3 linked regions of the Saccharomyces cerevisiae S288C genome follow. The gene in region 1 interacts genetically with each later gene. Each region holds a gene or a part of one and is shown on either strand. Other genes may lie near its edges.

Region 1 (5,094 bases):
CCCCTTTCTTGTTGATTTATGACCTTTTGAGGTAAATTGCCTCCTACTTTCTTCTTCTCCTCCTCATGAAATAGGGTACTATCAGGTGGGGGATGGACTTGAGCTTTGATGCCAGTCATTTTTCTTGACTTTCAATGCGTAGCTCTACTTATTTTCTTTCTAGCAATATTGCGTATGTCAATAAACAAAGCTAGCTAATGATGCTCTTTATATTGTTAAGAAGAAAACTGATTAAATTAAGTAACGCTAAAAAGCAAAGTTGTCTATCAAAGTGAAATGTATCGCAATTGGAAAAGGTAAGTGCAATTCTAAAGGATGTAAGGTACAATTATCCCTTTTTCCCTTTCTGACTGCAGCAGTGTGTTGTAAAGGTATACATACATTCTCGTATTGTTGTTTCTCCCCCTTCTCGCGCTGGCGAAGAAGTGAAAAAAAAAAATAAAAAAATGGAAATTTCGGACGATCGTCATTTTGAAAATACATAGTGAGCCAATATTATACTAGGAGTATATATATTTAGAGGCCAGTTCTGCTCTCTTGTCAATTGCCCGGGCGAGCTGCTCGGTCGTAAACAAGCTAGTGTCATTGATTTTTTTTAGGAAGAGGTGGTGGTAGTTTCGATTCAGGTCGCAAAGACGGAATGAACAGTACACCAACTGCAGGCAAACGGAGTCACTCAGCTTGATGCTATTTAACCCACGAGTGAGGTCTTTTAATACGTATGTTATGCACTTATCAACGAATTGCAACATGACTGCATTTGTAGGTATTTTGTTTTCCCTTTTTGAAGTCCGAATCTTTTTGCTTGGCTCCTCTGGGGTCACTTCAACCTTATTAATTTCTTCTTCTTCTTTTTCTGCCTTGTTATCTATGCTTTTGCTTGGCTCTTCTGGGGTCACCTCAACCTTATTAATTTCTTCTTCCTCTTTTTCTGCCTTGTTATCTTTGGTATTTACTTCTTCCTCTTTTTCTTTTTCAGCCTTGTCTTCTGTTTTGTTTACTGTTTCATTTTCTATCTCATTTTCTGTTTTCCTTTCTGCTCCATCATCTTCGCCTTCCACTTTGCCTTGTACTTCCTCTTGTACATCTTCTATCGATTTATTTTCTGTCACATCTTCTTCATTGTTCGCTACGCTATCTTGTTTTTGATATTCTTCCTTCTTTGTTTCTTTCTCCTTTTCTTCAATTTCTTTCTCTTCGTTAGTCCCATTTATCCTTAGCACAGTACTTTCTAGTTCCTCTGGGAAAGGAATCTCTAAGTCATTTGTATCATACAAGAAGCTTTTCAGAAAGACATTCAAGGACATGTAGACATGTTCCCTGAGGACTTCAATTTTCCTCTTAACCATCATTTCAATTAAAGATTCATTAGAAGACTCAACGTCCAAAGGATATGATGCTATTTCATCGGTAATGAATTTGTATCTCATGGCTAAAAACACACTTAATAATGATTTATTAGTCTTTCCATCAAATGGTGGAATTGAATTCAAGTACTGTAGTATTTTCTTTAGTGAGTTTACTGATACATTAGTAGACAGTAATTTTACCAGCCCGGATAACATGGTAGTACTAATTTCGTTTAAAACTTTTTCGCAAACTTCATCCACAATGGTTGAACCAGGGAATCTTGACCTCAGGGAAGTAGTGTGTGTGTATAGCATGACGGCCTCCTGGTAATGACCTGTTCTGATACATGTGCGGGCCAAAAATGGTAGTTCCATCAAATCCGTAATGCTATCCAAATTTTCTAGTACAGTGACTAATGTGTCAGATCTAATGTCGTCCTTGTCATCTTCTTTAGTTGAAATTCTGTTTCTTAACCTACTTAATGCCTTGTGAAACTCATCCTCCTTCTTCTTTCTTGCCAGATTGTTACTCTCAGTCGTCATGATGCGACCTGTGTCGTTGTCTTCTTTATCGTCTTCCAAAAAGTCATCAATAGAAACGCTTTCATTGTTTATATCGTCATTTGTAACGTTTCGATCGGCTGCCTTATTAATATTAGTATCCAATTCCCATAATTGCTCCAAAGACTTGGCTATATCATCCAATTGAGCCCTATCATCGTTTTCAAGAATATTTCCGATAATCTGAGACGTATTATCTAGTAGTGTTTTCCTTATCTTTCTATCAAGGGCAGATAATTCAGCATCAATTTCTGCTATGTCTTCAGTTATGCTACCAGGAACAGCCCTAGATGAAAAATAACTTTCATAGTCTTTCGTGTTAGATTGTAGGATATCCTGTAGGAAATCAAGACTTAACCGTTTTTGTTCCTCTGTTAAATCATCAGAAATGAGGCTGTTTAGTATCAGCTCCATTTTACTCAATGATTATGTTTATTGTTGAAATATGTTCCCTCAAATGTCCTAACACTTCTATGATTATTTTTTCTGTGCTTCTCTTTTCAGTATGTTACTACGCTATATTTTTAGACATTGAAGCCATGATCGCGAGATCGATCTAATGTACGTATAAAAAGAAAATGGACTTCAAGAGTACAACTAACTAAAGGAAAATCCAACTCTTCCTATAAATTTAGAATTAGCATATTCAAAAAAGAAGAAACAAAGCACTCACGATGGGGGTCGAACCCATAATCTTCTGATTAGAAGTCAGACGCGTTGCCATTACGCCACGCGAGCTAAATTTCTTGAATTGTTGGGTAAACAAATATTACTAATACAAATGTTATTAGAAACCAAAAATGCACTTTTCCGGGGTTAATATATATGATTGAGTGATGGATGAAGAATGAGATAATTGTTTAAATTCTATAGTTGTCAAGCGCTGTGATACCAGATACACAAAATGTACTAGAGGTTCTCCTCGAGAATATGAAAATCCACAATAGAGAACCGATATTTCTGTGTAGGAATATTATTATTTCTTCTTTCATTTTGTATGTTCTCGTTCATTTTCCTAGCACATTATCAACCCTTTCATTTCAATTTCCATTAAAATTGGTGACTGTTTCTCAATATTTATTTGACCGTCTTATACCCAATATGGTAATATACCAGTAATATAAATACTAGTCGTTAGATGATAGTTGCTTCTTATTCCGAAAATGAGTATGGAAGTGTTGCATATGATAGGGCGGCTACAGTGATGGTAAACATAAGATACTTTAGCGGGAAATTAGCAACTGGAAGTTAAATTATCTAGACATAAGTGTGGCGGTCACGCTGAACGCAGGAGATCGGATAGATTGATAAGCTGATCAAGAACATTGATCGGTTTGTTGTTTAAAGAATGGTTTTTGAAAACGTTTGACCAGTTGCTTCTCCCAGACGCTTACCGATATGATGATAAAGATAATATCTTCAATTGAATACCCCGTGGATCAGCACGAATAACAGAAAAAAAGGGTGAAATTCACCGTAAGCATGATACGCACTACGTTCTTCTTACCTTTGCCAACGTGTTGTCTTTGACGTACGTAATTATGGGAGATCGTTGATGATTAGCCCCAGCTCACTTTCTTCTTAATGACTGACCCGCTACTATCAAAATTAAGGTGTCAAATATCATGATGAATGAGGTCTCTAGGCGACTCAATTATACATCTTTTAGAGATTTTTTTACTACTTGCAGATAATTTCTCAAGGGATTAGATTCAAATCTGGCTTGTCAATTACGCCCTTTTCAAGCTCATCAAATTGCGTATGTCATTCATGCTTCCATTAGGAACCATAGAAGCATGGCTGAAATGGCAATATACGGCTTCCCAATTTCAACTCTAAAGTAATGGCGGTCGAATTTAATCTATATTTTACAGTTTTATACGTACTTTAAAAGCAATCAGTAAACACCTCTGGTGCTATTCAAGGGTTTTTTGCCTTTATTTGTTACTGTCAATTGTCTGGCGCTGTGATAAAAAACAAGGCATAAAGCTCCCCCGTCATGAACATTAAGACTCGCTAGACGAGAGAGTGAAATATAATGCATTTCCTGATTTAAATGCGCTACAAACATGGTGTAAATCTGGCCCGGAGTGAGTGCTTGCCAATTTGGCTTCTAAGGGAGAAAGATCAAACCACTCCCAATTGCGTCATTTTGAAAGAGTGGCCACCTCGCGAGCGTCTGTCGAACTAACTGATGAATAAATATATAAGGAGAAAATCACTTCAACTTCGCTACAAGTAGTCACTATTTGTAGCAACTGTAAACGAACACATCAAAGAATAAGATTACATTCTATATCTAAGACTAAATTTTAAATGTCCGCTAAATCGTTTGAAGTCACAGATCCAGTCAATTCAAGTCTCAAAGGGTTTGCCCTTGCTAACCCCTCCATTACGCTGGTCCCTGAAGAAAAAATTCTCTTCAGAAAGACCGATTCCGACAAGATCGCATTAATTTCTGGTGGTGGTAGTGGACATGAACCTACACACGCCGGTTTCATTGGTAAGGGTATGTTGAGTGGCGCCGTGGTTGGCGAAATTTTTGCATCCCCTTCAACAAAACAGATTTTAAATGCAATCCGTTTAGTCAATGAAAATGCGTCTGGCGTTTTATTGATTGTGAAGAACTACACAGGTGATGTTTTGCATTTTGGTCTGTCCGCTGAGAGAGCAAGAGCCTTGGGTATTAACTGCCGCGTTGCTGTCATAGGTGATGATGTTGCAGTTGGCAGAGAAAAGGGTGGTATGGTTGGTAGAAGAGCATTGGCAGGTACCGTTTTGGTTCATAAGATTGTAGGTGCCTTCGCAGAAGAATATTCTAGTAAGTATGGCTTAGACGGTACAGCTAAAGTGGCTAAAATTATCAACGACAATTTGGTGACCATTGGATCTTCTTTAGACCATTGTAAAGTTCCTGGCAGGAAATTCGAAAGTGAATTAAACGAAAAACAAATGGAATTGGGTATGGGTATTCATAACGAACCTGGTGTGAAAGTTTTAGACCCTATTCCTTCTACCGAAGACTTGATCTCCAAGTATATGCTACCAAAACTATTGGATCCAAACGATAAGGATAGAGCTTTTGTAAAGTTTGATGAAGATGATGAAGTTGTCTTGTTAGTTAACAATCTCGGCGGTGTTTCTAATTTTGTTATTAGTTCTATCACTTCCAAAACTACGGATT
Region 2 (5,315 bases), on another chromosome or scaffold:
ACATTCACGCCCGAACACTCCTAAAAAGCAGCCCACACAAGAAAGTAGATATAATGTAGGACACCCAGCTTGTCCATAATTGCTAATAGCATACTCAGGATAACATATATTAATGACGACTCGTTTGCTCCAACTCACTCGTCCTCATTACAGATTATTATCCCTACCTCTCCAGAAACCCTTCAATATAAAAAGGCAGATGTCCGCTGCGAACCCTTCTCCATTTGGCAATTATTTGAACACGATCACTAAGTCCCTACAACAGAATTTACAAACATGCTTTCATTTCCAAGCAAAAGAAATCGATATAATCGAATCTCCATCTCAGTTTTACGATCTCTTGAAGACAAAAATACTTAATTCACAAAATAGAATATTCATTGCGTCTCTGTATTTAGGCAAAAGCGAGACTGAGTTGGTGGACTGCATATCCCAGGCATTGACCAAGAACCCCAAGTTGAAAGTTTCTTTTCTACTTGATGGCCTTCGAGGAACAAGAGAATTGCCTTCCGCCTGTTCCGCCACTTTATTATCGTCTTTAGTAGCCAAATATGGGTCAGAGAGAGTGGATTGCCGATTGTACAAGACGCCTGCTTATCATGGTTGGAAAAAAGTCTTGGTTCCCAAGAGATTTAATGAAGGTTTAGGCTTACAACATATGAAAATATATGGGTTTGATAACGAGGTCATTCTTTCGGGAGCCAACCTTTCGAACGACTATTTCACCAACAGACAAGATAGATACTATCTCTTTAAATCTCGAAACTTCTCCAACTATTATTTTAAATTACATCAACTCATAAGTTCCTTCAGTTATCAGATTATAAAGCCAATGGTGGATGGTAGCATCAACATCATTTGGCCAGATTCGAATCCTACTGTTGAACCGACGAAAAATAAAAGGCTGTTTTTAAGGGAAGCATCTCAATTACTAGATGGCTTTTTAAAGAGTTCTAAACAAAGCCTCCCGATTACTGCCGTGGGTCAATTCTCCACATTAGTTTACCCAATTTCTCAATTCACTCCACTTTTTCCCAAATATAATGACAAATCGACCGAAAAAAGAACAATATTGTCATTGCTTTCCACTATAACAAGCAATGCCATTTCTTGGACGTTCACTGCAGGATACTTCAATATTTTGCCAGACATCAAAGCAAAACTGCTGGCAACGCCGGTTGCTGAGGCAAATGTAATAACAGCTTCCCCCTTTGCAAACGGCTTTTACCAATCAAAGGGCGTCTCATCAAATTTACCTGGTGCTTACTTGTACCTGTCAAAAAAATTTCTACAAGATGTATGTAGGTACAGACAAGATCATGCTATTACATTAAGAGAATGGCAAAGAGGCGTAGTAAATAAGCCGAATGGTTGGTCATATCACGCAAAAGGTATTTGGCTTTCCGCTCGTGATAAAAATGATGCTAACAATTGGAAACCCTTTATCACGGTTATAGGATCTTCAAACTATACGAGAAGGGCGTATTCATTAGATTTGGAATCGAATGCTCTCATTATTACAAGAGATGAAGAGCTAAGAAAAAAAATGAAAGCAGAGTTAGATAATTTATTACAATATACAAAACCTGTAACTCTAGAAGACTTTCAATCAGACCCAGAAAGACATGTTGGCACTGGTGTAAAGATAGCTACCTCCATTTTGGGTAAAAAACTTTAGATTCTATTCTATCATAGTATGTCGCCTGTAAATATGGAAAAATAAAAGAAAAAATAGTAATAATAAATGCATTATCTAAAACTCCTTAAATTTGCAAACATCGCAAAGCCATTAAGGTAGAGAATGAGCTGACCTTGTTATAGTTTTCCTTTTGGCAACCGTGGTTTCCGTCCTACGTAAACATACTGAACTTGACAAAGTATGACCAATAAGGTGACAAATTGTATCAATTTTACCCAAAAGGGCGTTGAATTAAATGGTATCTCGTAAAACAATGCATTGGTCGGTATTACCAGTCTACCTAATAAATCGATAGATTCAGCCAAAAATGATATCAATGCAAACTTTGATGATAAACCTACTGTTGAGCATCCCATCCAGTTTATACTCATTTGAGGCACATACTTGAAACATTTAAGCAGATTTGCCATTACCCACAAATAATTTATGTGTTCCAAATAGAAAACGCCAAATTTACCTGAATTTTTCAACGGTAAATTAGAGATGGAACAGCCATATGTAAATATGCCTAATACAAGGAACACACTTATAATTATTATGGAAGTAATGGAAATGCCCTGATAAATATGTTTAGTTGACCTATAATAGTATAACTGCCTTAAAACCATCATGCAGCAACAGGAAACGCAAAAATCTTTTAGAATGAGGAAACTGGATATAGGTATACTACGGGCATCATTCAACGGATAAAAAAGTGGGAATCTTTGAGACAGTTGTTCCCTCACCAGAGATGAATAACAATAATGCAACGCGCAATACAAGTACAGACCATTACCAACAAAATCTAGCAGAAATAAATCATATGAAAGCCCGTAAATAGATCGATGAAGTTTATTATAGCGCTTTTGACATAGAATGGCGATGATCTATGTAAGAAATGGAAGTTTTCTCCCTTAGTTAGTCAAACCTTTCATGTATACTTTCTCCTTCAATTATGCATACTGATAAAAAACCTGCCAAGCCCTGCAGAACAATAACAAGCATGTGAATGATTCAATATAATTGCTTCGCAGGGCTCCTCAACCTCTCCTCTGGAAAACCTTACCTCAATGAGGTTAAAAATTGTGGGTTTTTCGTTCGCAGAGGAAAAAAAAACTTGTCAAAACACGCCTCTGCAGTAGAACACGAATTATACATAAGAAAAATAACGATACAAGAAAGGCGATTTCGATTTGGGACTAAGTGTTACACGAAAGGCATAGAGTATCAAAAAAAGGAAGCAAGATGGATTACGATAGCTCTGATACAATGAACGGTGGTTCAAGTAACCCCTTAATCACTAAGATGAATACAATGAAATTATTATATCAACACTATTTGGATAAAGTCACTCCTCACGCTAAGGAGAGGTGGGCTGTATTGGGTGGTTTGTTATGTTTGTTTATGGTTCGTATTACAATGGCCGAAGGCTGGTATGTGATTTGTTATGGTCTAGGTCTATTTTTATTGAATCAATTTTTAGCCTTTTTGACCCCAAAATTCGATATGTCCTTACAGCAAGATGAAGAAAACAACGAATTGGAAGCTGGAGAAAAATCAGAAGAATTCCGTCCATTCATCAGAAGATTACCAGAGTTCAAATTCTGGTATAACAGCATTAGAGCCACTGTCATTTCCCTCTTGTTGTCGCTATTTTCAATCTTCGATATTCCAGTATTTTGGCCCATCTTATTGATGTATTTCATATTATTGTTTTTTTTAACTATGAGAAGGCAGATTCAACATATGATAAAATATAGATATATACCCTTAGATATCGGTAAGAAGAAATATTCTCATTCTTCTAACTGATATACCCTGACTCCACATACCTATTCAACGAACACATTCGTATCTTAATTATATGTAAACAAAATTATATGATAGTTACAGAATAATTGTGATTATTTTCTCCTTCTACTCATCTTCTCTTATATTGGAAGAATACATGAAGTTATTGATTAAGCAAAATTGAAGGGAAGAGGCTCATTTTCTTCCATTTATAAATGGAGAGCTTGAGATGCCTCCAATTGATAAATTTTTGTAAAGACTTTCAAGAAACATGTCTAAAAAGAATTGACAGCTTCGAACCTTTCTGCATAATTACTAATACCAAATTAGTGAGAAATGGGGTATGTCGAGGAATAAAGGATGCAAAAGAGAGAGTAATGTCATGCAAGTTGTGAGTTTGAAATGTTCACACGTTTATAATGTCCATACTCCGTGGCGTGCATGTGTTTTAGTGTATTAGTTTTCCAAGTTATTAAAGAACTTAGTAAATTTATCATCGAACGCATTTTGATTAAGTGGCACAATAGACTTCAATGGAAAATGAAAATCATATCTGTAGCAAAAACGACAGCGAAGATAACGGTTACACAATTATCACGTTGATTCGTCAACTTAAAGATGACCTTTTTACAATTTATCAATAATAATAGACAAGAAGGACAAGGTTATATTTCAGAAAAATTATTCAAAACTAAGAAGAATGAGATGATAAGAAAAACAGTTACCAATTTAGTAGCTGTAAGATTAAAAAACTTATCCCACGAATTTGATGTAATAGAGAATTATCTGCGCTATATAGCTAGCACCAGTGAACATCTATTTACTGCTATTAAGCGCCACTTTAACAAATGTGCCAGAAAACTTTTGAAAGAAGCAATCGACTCCAAATCAAACTCAGAAACTGCTACGGTGGTTCTGCAAGAAGGATTTTCTGGCATTTGCTTATTGAAAGCGTCTTCAATTATATTAAAACTAAAATTGAAGTTTCCAAAAAAGAAAGATAGAACTGATATTAGCAAATTGTGTGACAAGAAAGAACGGATGACACAGTGGTTAGAAATTTCAATTTTGATGAACTGAGAATAATAATATTATGCTCCCCTGGATTTTATGCGAAGACACTGCTGAAAAAATTTCTGATATATGCAGAGAAGGAGCAAATAAGCCAGTTTTAAGGAACCGAGATAAGCTGTTTTCGCCCATTGTTCTAGTTCTACAAAATATCTACAGGGAATCGATGAGGTTGTAAGAAATCCTGAATACTCTATGATAGTGCATAACACTAAAAAGTTGAAAGAATCCCGTATCATGGACGATTTCCTTGAACATTTGAGCAAAGACGATAACAAAGCATGGTATGGCGCGGAAGAAACCGAGAGAGCTGCAAAATTAGATGCAATAGAAACACTACTTATTACAGATAGTGTACTAAAAAGGAACGACGTGAAAAAACGTGAAAAATACCTAGACCTAATAGAGAATAGTGGAAACAACAATGGCAAAATATTCGTACTCAGTACTTCAAAAATCACAGTGAGCAACTTGACAAACCAACAGATATAGGCTGTGTCTTAAAATATACCATCCAATACCTTGATGAACTTTTCAAAGATGACTAAAATAAGTGAAATTTCAACATTAACTTCGAATTTTTTTCTTTTTATCTAACACTTGTCAAACAGAATATAAGGATTACTTGTCTTCTTTGCTACATATTGCTACCACTTCTATTACACAATAGTTTCAATAGCTTGCAGCGTAGCTAAACTCTAAAATTTATCTAAATCACTCATATAAACCGAACCCTTCCCCTTCCGCTTATAGTACAGTACCTATACATTTCATA
Region 3 (5,365 bases), on another chromosome or scaffold:
AACCAATCTATATTAATAGGGTTTGGACAGATTCTTTGTCATACGAGATTTCCTTTGCTCAGAAATACGTTTCACTAAACAGTGAAGTCCCAATCAAGATAAAATTGGCACCGATATGCAAAAACGTTTGTGTTAAACGTATTCATGTCAGTATTACTGAAAGAGTCACATTTGTTAGTAAAGGTTATGAATATGAGTATGATCAAACAGATCCCGTTGCTAAAGACCCTTATAATCCGTATTATTTAGATTTCGCCTCCAAGAGAAGAAAGGAAAGAAGTGTATCATTATTTGAAATCAGAACTAAGGAGAAGGGCACGAGAGCTCTAAGGGAGGAAATTGTTGAAAATTCATTCAATGACAATCTCTTATCTTATAGTCCTTTTGATGACGACAGCGATTCAAAAGGCAATCCGAAAGAAAGGCTCGGTATAACGGAACCAATAATTATTGAAACAAAATTGAAGTTCCCCAAATACGAAGATTTGGATAAAAGAACCGCAAAGATAATACCACCTTATGGTATCGATGCATACACGAGCATCCCCAATCCCGAACATGCCGTAGCCAATGGACCCTCACACCGTCGTCCCAGTGTAATAGGCTTTTTATCCGGTCATAAAGGCTCGAAAAGTCATGAAGAAAATGAAAAACCTGTTTATGATCCAAAATTCCATCAAACAATAATCAAATCCAATTCTGGTTTGCCCGTGAAAACACATACCAGATTAAACACACCGAAAAGAGGCTTGTACTTGGATAGTTTACACTTCAGTAATGTTTACTGTAGACATAAGCTGGAAATTATGCTACGAATCAGTAAACCTGATCCTGAGTGTCCGTCCAAATTAAGACATTATGAGGTTCTAATCGATACGCCCATATTCCTGGTGTCTGAACAGTGCAACAGTGGTAATATGGAGTTACCCACTTATGATATGGCCACAATGGAAGGCAAAGGCAACCAGGTTCCTCTAAGTATGAACAGCGACTTTTTTGGTAACACATGTCCACCTCCGCCAACTTTTGAAGAAGCCATATCCGTTCCAGCTTCTCCCATTGTCTCACCGATGGGATCACCTAATATCATGGCCTCGTATGACCCTGATTTACTATCTATTCAACAATTGAACTTATCAAGAACTACGTCAGTTAGTGGGCCATCCGGATACAGCGATGATGCCGGTGTGCCAAATGTTAATCGGAACAGTATTTCAAATGCCAATGCCATGAACGGCAGTATTTCGAATTCCGCATTTGTTTCGGGCAATAGTGGCCAAGGTGTTGCTAGAGCAAGAGCAACGTCAGTGAATGACAGGTCAAGATTCAATAATCTCGATAAATTATTGAGCACTCCATCGCCCGTCAATAGATCTCACAATTCATCACCAACAAATGGCTTATCACAAGCAAATGGTACTGTGAGGATTCCAAACGCTACCACTGAAAACTCTAAGGACAAACAGAACGAATTTTTCAAAAAGGGTTACACTTTAGCGAATGTAAAAGATGATGAAGAACAAGAAGGAATAGTAAGTTCGAGCTCCGCAGATTCGCTACTCTCTCATGGTAACGAGCCTCCGCGTTATGACGAAATAGTGCCTTTGATGAGTGATGAAGAATGAATTTTTTCGTTTTTTATTTTTTTTTGAATTATTCTACGATAATTATATATATAGAGCCACTGCATGTTTTACTCCCTTTTTGTTGACTACATGCTATTTAATTAGGTTAGGTTATAAATCTCTTTATTATTGTTTCTTATAACATAAACATTATTTTTCTTCTTCAACTAATCAATTCAATATGCACTATGAATGATAATTCAGATGCGCAGAACACCTCTTGCCGAATTGACACCAGCAGAGCTTAACATCCTCAAACCTGTTGCACCGAATGGGAAATATGAAATAGCATAATAAATGACGGCAACTAATTCAAGAAGAGCACATGTAATAGTCAGCACCGTGTTCTTGGAAAAGGCTGCGAAATAAATCGTCATGAAGCATGTGGCGAAAAAGAACATCGAAAAAGGCAGCCTTTCCCTTGCAGTCAAATGTTTTAAGTACGCGAGTGGTCCCATAAGTACCCCAAACGCAAGAACAAATAGTAGGGACCCCATTGTCCATAGTAAACCAAACTTTCTTGGTTTAGCGGCTAGAACGGGGAAAAGGAAAGTACAAAGAGTGAAACAGGCTGTTGCACCCAAAAGAAAACAGACAAAAAGTACCATTCTTTCCGTTCTTGACAATTGGAACCACGACGGCTCCTGGTCTTGCACCAAGTCCTGTCTAGATACAGGCAACGTCTGATATATATCCTGGGCCCTGGTATTGAGAGAATCCGCCCAGCTTGAGAACAATGTCTTCGCAGATTCATTAAAACCCTGCGAGTTCTGCTGTCTTGTTTGATTCCATCGATTCAATGAGTCACGGAGACTATTGACCTGGTCAGAAGGTGGTTCCTCGCTCATATTCTCCACACTTGTTCTTTTTTTTTACCAGCAAAAAAAAAAAACGCAACTGCAGACAATACAGGTAATCTAAGTCCTACTCTAAACTACCGAACGCAATTAGAATGCAAATTTATTCAATCTTCTTCCTATTTCAGTATAGTACAAGTCTTGACCAATACTCCCTCTTCATTACAATCGCCTTTTGCCGGGTCACGATTGCGGGCCGTTCCGCGGGATGTGACTCTTCGCAAGTTACTTTTGAAATAATAAAGCCATGGTGATTAGAAAAGCCTTCTTATGAGCAACAGAAACTAACAATTGTACTACTCGGTCCGGACAGTAGGATCTCCAATATTACTGCAGGTTAGTACATTATTTTTTACTCGCAGTTGCTATTTTGGCTAGAGGCTGCACGGAATCATCAAGGAATTTTTCACAATCCGAATTTCTGTCTTACGTGAGCATATATAAGATAACAAAAACGACATTACTGCATTCACATTACTTAGTTGACAAGTATCCTTTAATAGAATACTCTTATTTTTTGTCAGGCGAACCTACTTCTTAAATAAGTGAAGAATGATGAACAATAACGAAAGTGAGGCTGAGAACCAACGTCTACTGGACGAATTAATGAACCAGACAAAAGTCCTCCAGGAAACTTTAGATTTTTCGTTAGTGACACCCACTCCACACCACAATGATGATTACAAGATACACGGAAGTGCCTACCCAGGTGGTGAGACTCCTGCCCAACAGCATGAAAAACTCTCATACATCAATACGCACAACTCTAACGATAATAATAACTTAATGGGCAGTCAAGCGAGGTCCAATTCACAAACTCCTACAGCTTCGACCATATATGAGGAAGCAGAATCGCAATCGTCTTACCTGGATGATATGTTTAGAACAAGCCAAGGCGGTAGACCTGTCACTCAAAATTCCATATCTTCCATAGGGCAGGGTCCCTTGAGATCATCTTATTCTATGGCTTACGACTCACCTGTGGATAGAGCAATGAATACTCCATTACAGCAACAAGAAGGCTTAAAAGCTGAGTTACCACATGACTTTTTATTTCAGCATGGCACCGATGACACAATGTATAACTTAACTGATGATTTGAGCTCCTCTTTATCTTCTAGCATCAATTCTGATATGATGACACCAAACACATATTCATCATCATTTTCTTATAATCCACAAAGCTTGGGCCCAGCATCCGTATCTTCCACATATTCCCCAAAGGTAAGATCACCATCATCGTCATTTCGTGCAGGAAGTTTCCTTTCATCTTCTTTTAGGCATGGTAGCATAAACACACCCAGAACAAGACACACTTCAATAAGTAGCAATATGACTGAAAATATAGGACCTGGAAGTGTTCCAAAGATTTTAGGCGGGTTAACTTCTGATGAGAAACTGAGGCGCAAAAGAGAGTTTCATAATGCCGTCGAAAGGAGAAGAAGAGAATTAATAAAGCAAAAGATAAAAGAACTCGGCCAGTTGGTTCCACCATCTTTATTGAATTACGATGACCTAGGTAAACAAATCAAACCAAATAAGGGTATCATTTTGGATAGAACGGTCGAATATTTACAATACCTGGCCGAAATTTTAGAAATACAAGCACGAAAAAAGAAGGCGTTATTGGCGAAGATAAAAGAATTGGAAGAGAAGAAAAGTTCTGTCGCAGCATTATCTCCTTTTACCAATAACCACCATGCCAGTTCGGGGCAAAATAATAGCGAGAATAGTGAGGAAAGAATTATAGATATTAGATCTGTCCCAAATGCTTTGATGAATGAACAAAATAGTAAGGCTGAATTGCACAATTGGGAGCCACCGTTATATGATTCGGTCGGTAACCACAATCATGCTGGCACTATGGAGAGTCATCCACATACAAACATTCATGAAGAATTAAAGGAGTTCTTATCAGGCGATTTGATTGAAGCCGAAGATAATGCAAAATTAATGTTTGGAGATGACAACTCTAATCCAGCTGACTATCTTTTAGAATTTGGTTCGGGGTAGTTTATGGTCTTATTAGCGGGAAAAAATTAAATTTGAAAAAGGTCAGGTAAGCAAAAGCAGTAAAACTTCAATATCTATGTTTGTTCCTTCTATTGGGAGAACGTTAATCGCTTCCGTACTCGCAAGATAATGTAATGAAAAAATTAGGAATTGCAACAAAATAAAGCGGAATATTAGTAACGCTTACATGCAACGTTTTGAAAAGAGTGGAAGAGATAGGCAAGCAGAATTATATGTAACAAAATCTAAAATTATTCACTATTATTCTTGGTTATGTCTAATACTTTGGATATATTAATTCTTTAGAATTTTATGTATTCTAAATGCAATTATGTCAATAAAACCCATGTAATTTTCTTTCATGATATGATTTAAATGCATTAGTATTATCAGGCATATTGTTATATATGAAGAAGGTTAGTTATAAGTAGTGTATAATATATACATGTGCTGCCCGCAATTGGGTATGATATGATTTTTAGTGCTTTATAATTTGGCGTCGCAAGAATGTAGATCACTTGTATCAATGGAAAGCTTACTTGGGTAACTCATTTATTGAGAAAATCAATGGATGTCGAATTTATATAGAGTAGAGCCAACACTTCATGATTGGAAAGCATATACCAAACGGTATACCACTGATAATATGAATGCAGAAGACTAATGCGCTACACATCATACTTTACGGCGATGATATATTTCAAGATAGCATAAGCTCTATGGTTATTCTGATGTTACTGGTAGTCGTAAGTGCAGTATCACGAACGTATAGAAGAATAAACATGGGTCTCATCAAAAAAGTGACCCATTGGTCATATGATAATTTGATTGATTATCTTTCAGTGAACCCTACAAGAGATGAAGTGACCC

Evidence for each region. A genetic interaction does not mean that the proteins touch.
Region 2: mutations in COG8 (region 1) and RER1 together harm fitness more than expected from each alone (negative genetic interaction), as found in Saccharomyces cerevisiae (5 studies listed by BioGRID, with this or other methods).
Region 3: mutations in COG8 (region 1) and SFT2 together harm fitness more than expected from each alone (negative genetic interaction), as found in Saccharomyces cerevisiae (5 studies listed by BioGRID).

The regions. Positions count from the first base shown.
Region 1 is NC_001145.3:129,249-134,342, forward strand, and holds COG8 (Golgi transport complex subunit COG8), read right to left. Parts: upstream 2,325-5,094; coding exon 501-2,324; downstream 1-500. Other genes in the region: TCB3 (Tcb3p), read right to left, coding at 1-119; DAK1 (dihydroxyacetone kinase), read left to right, coding at 4,227-5,094. UniProt on the Saccharomyces cerevisiae protein: Acts as a component of the peripheral membrane COG complex that is involved in intra-Golgi protein trafficking.
Region 2 is NC_001135.5:108,993-114,307, forward strand, and holds RER1 (protein retrieval receptor), read left to right. Parts: upstream 1-2,923; coding exon 2,924-3,490; downstream 3,491-5,315. Other genes in the region: PGS1 (CDP-diacylglycerol--glycerol-3-phosphate 3-phosphatidyltransferase), read left to right, coding at 113-1,678; YCL002C (uncharacterized protein), read right to left, coding at 1,816-2,565, 2,642-2,683; YCL001W-A (uncharacterized protein), read left to right, coding at 4,088-4,549; YCL001W-B (uncharacterized protein), read left to right, coding at 4,778-5,032. UniProt on the Saccharomyces cerevisiae protein: Involved in the retrieval of endoplasmic reticulum membrane proteins from the early Golgi compartment. Required for correct localization of SEC12, SEC71 and SEC63 in the endoplasmic reticulum.
Region 3 is NC_001134.8:21,206-26,570, reverse strand, and holds SFT2 (Sft2p), read right to left. Parts: upstream 2,474-5,365; coding exon 1,826-2,473; downstream 1-1,825. Other genes in the region: ECM21 (Ecm21p), read left to right, coding at 1-1,625; RTG3 (Rtg3p), read left to right, coding at 3,035-4,495; SEA4 (Sea4p), read left to right, coding at 5,278-5,365. UniProt on the Saccharomyces cerevisiae protein: Nonessential protein required for the fusion of transport vesicles derived from the endocytic pathway with the Golgi complex. Can be partially replaced by GOT1.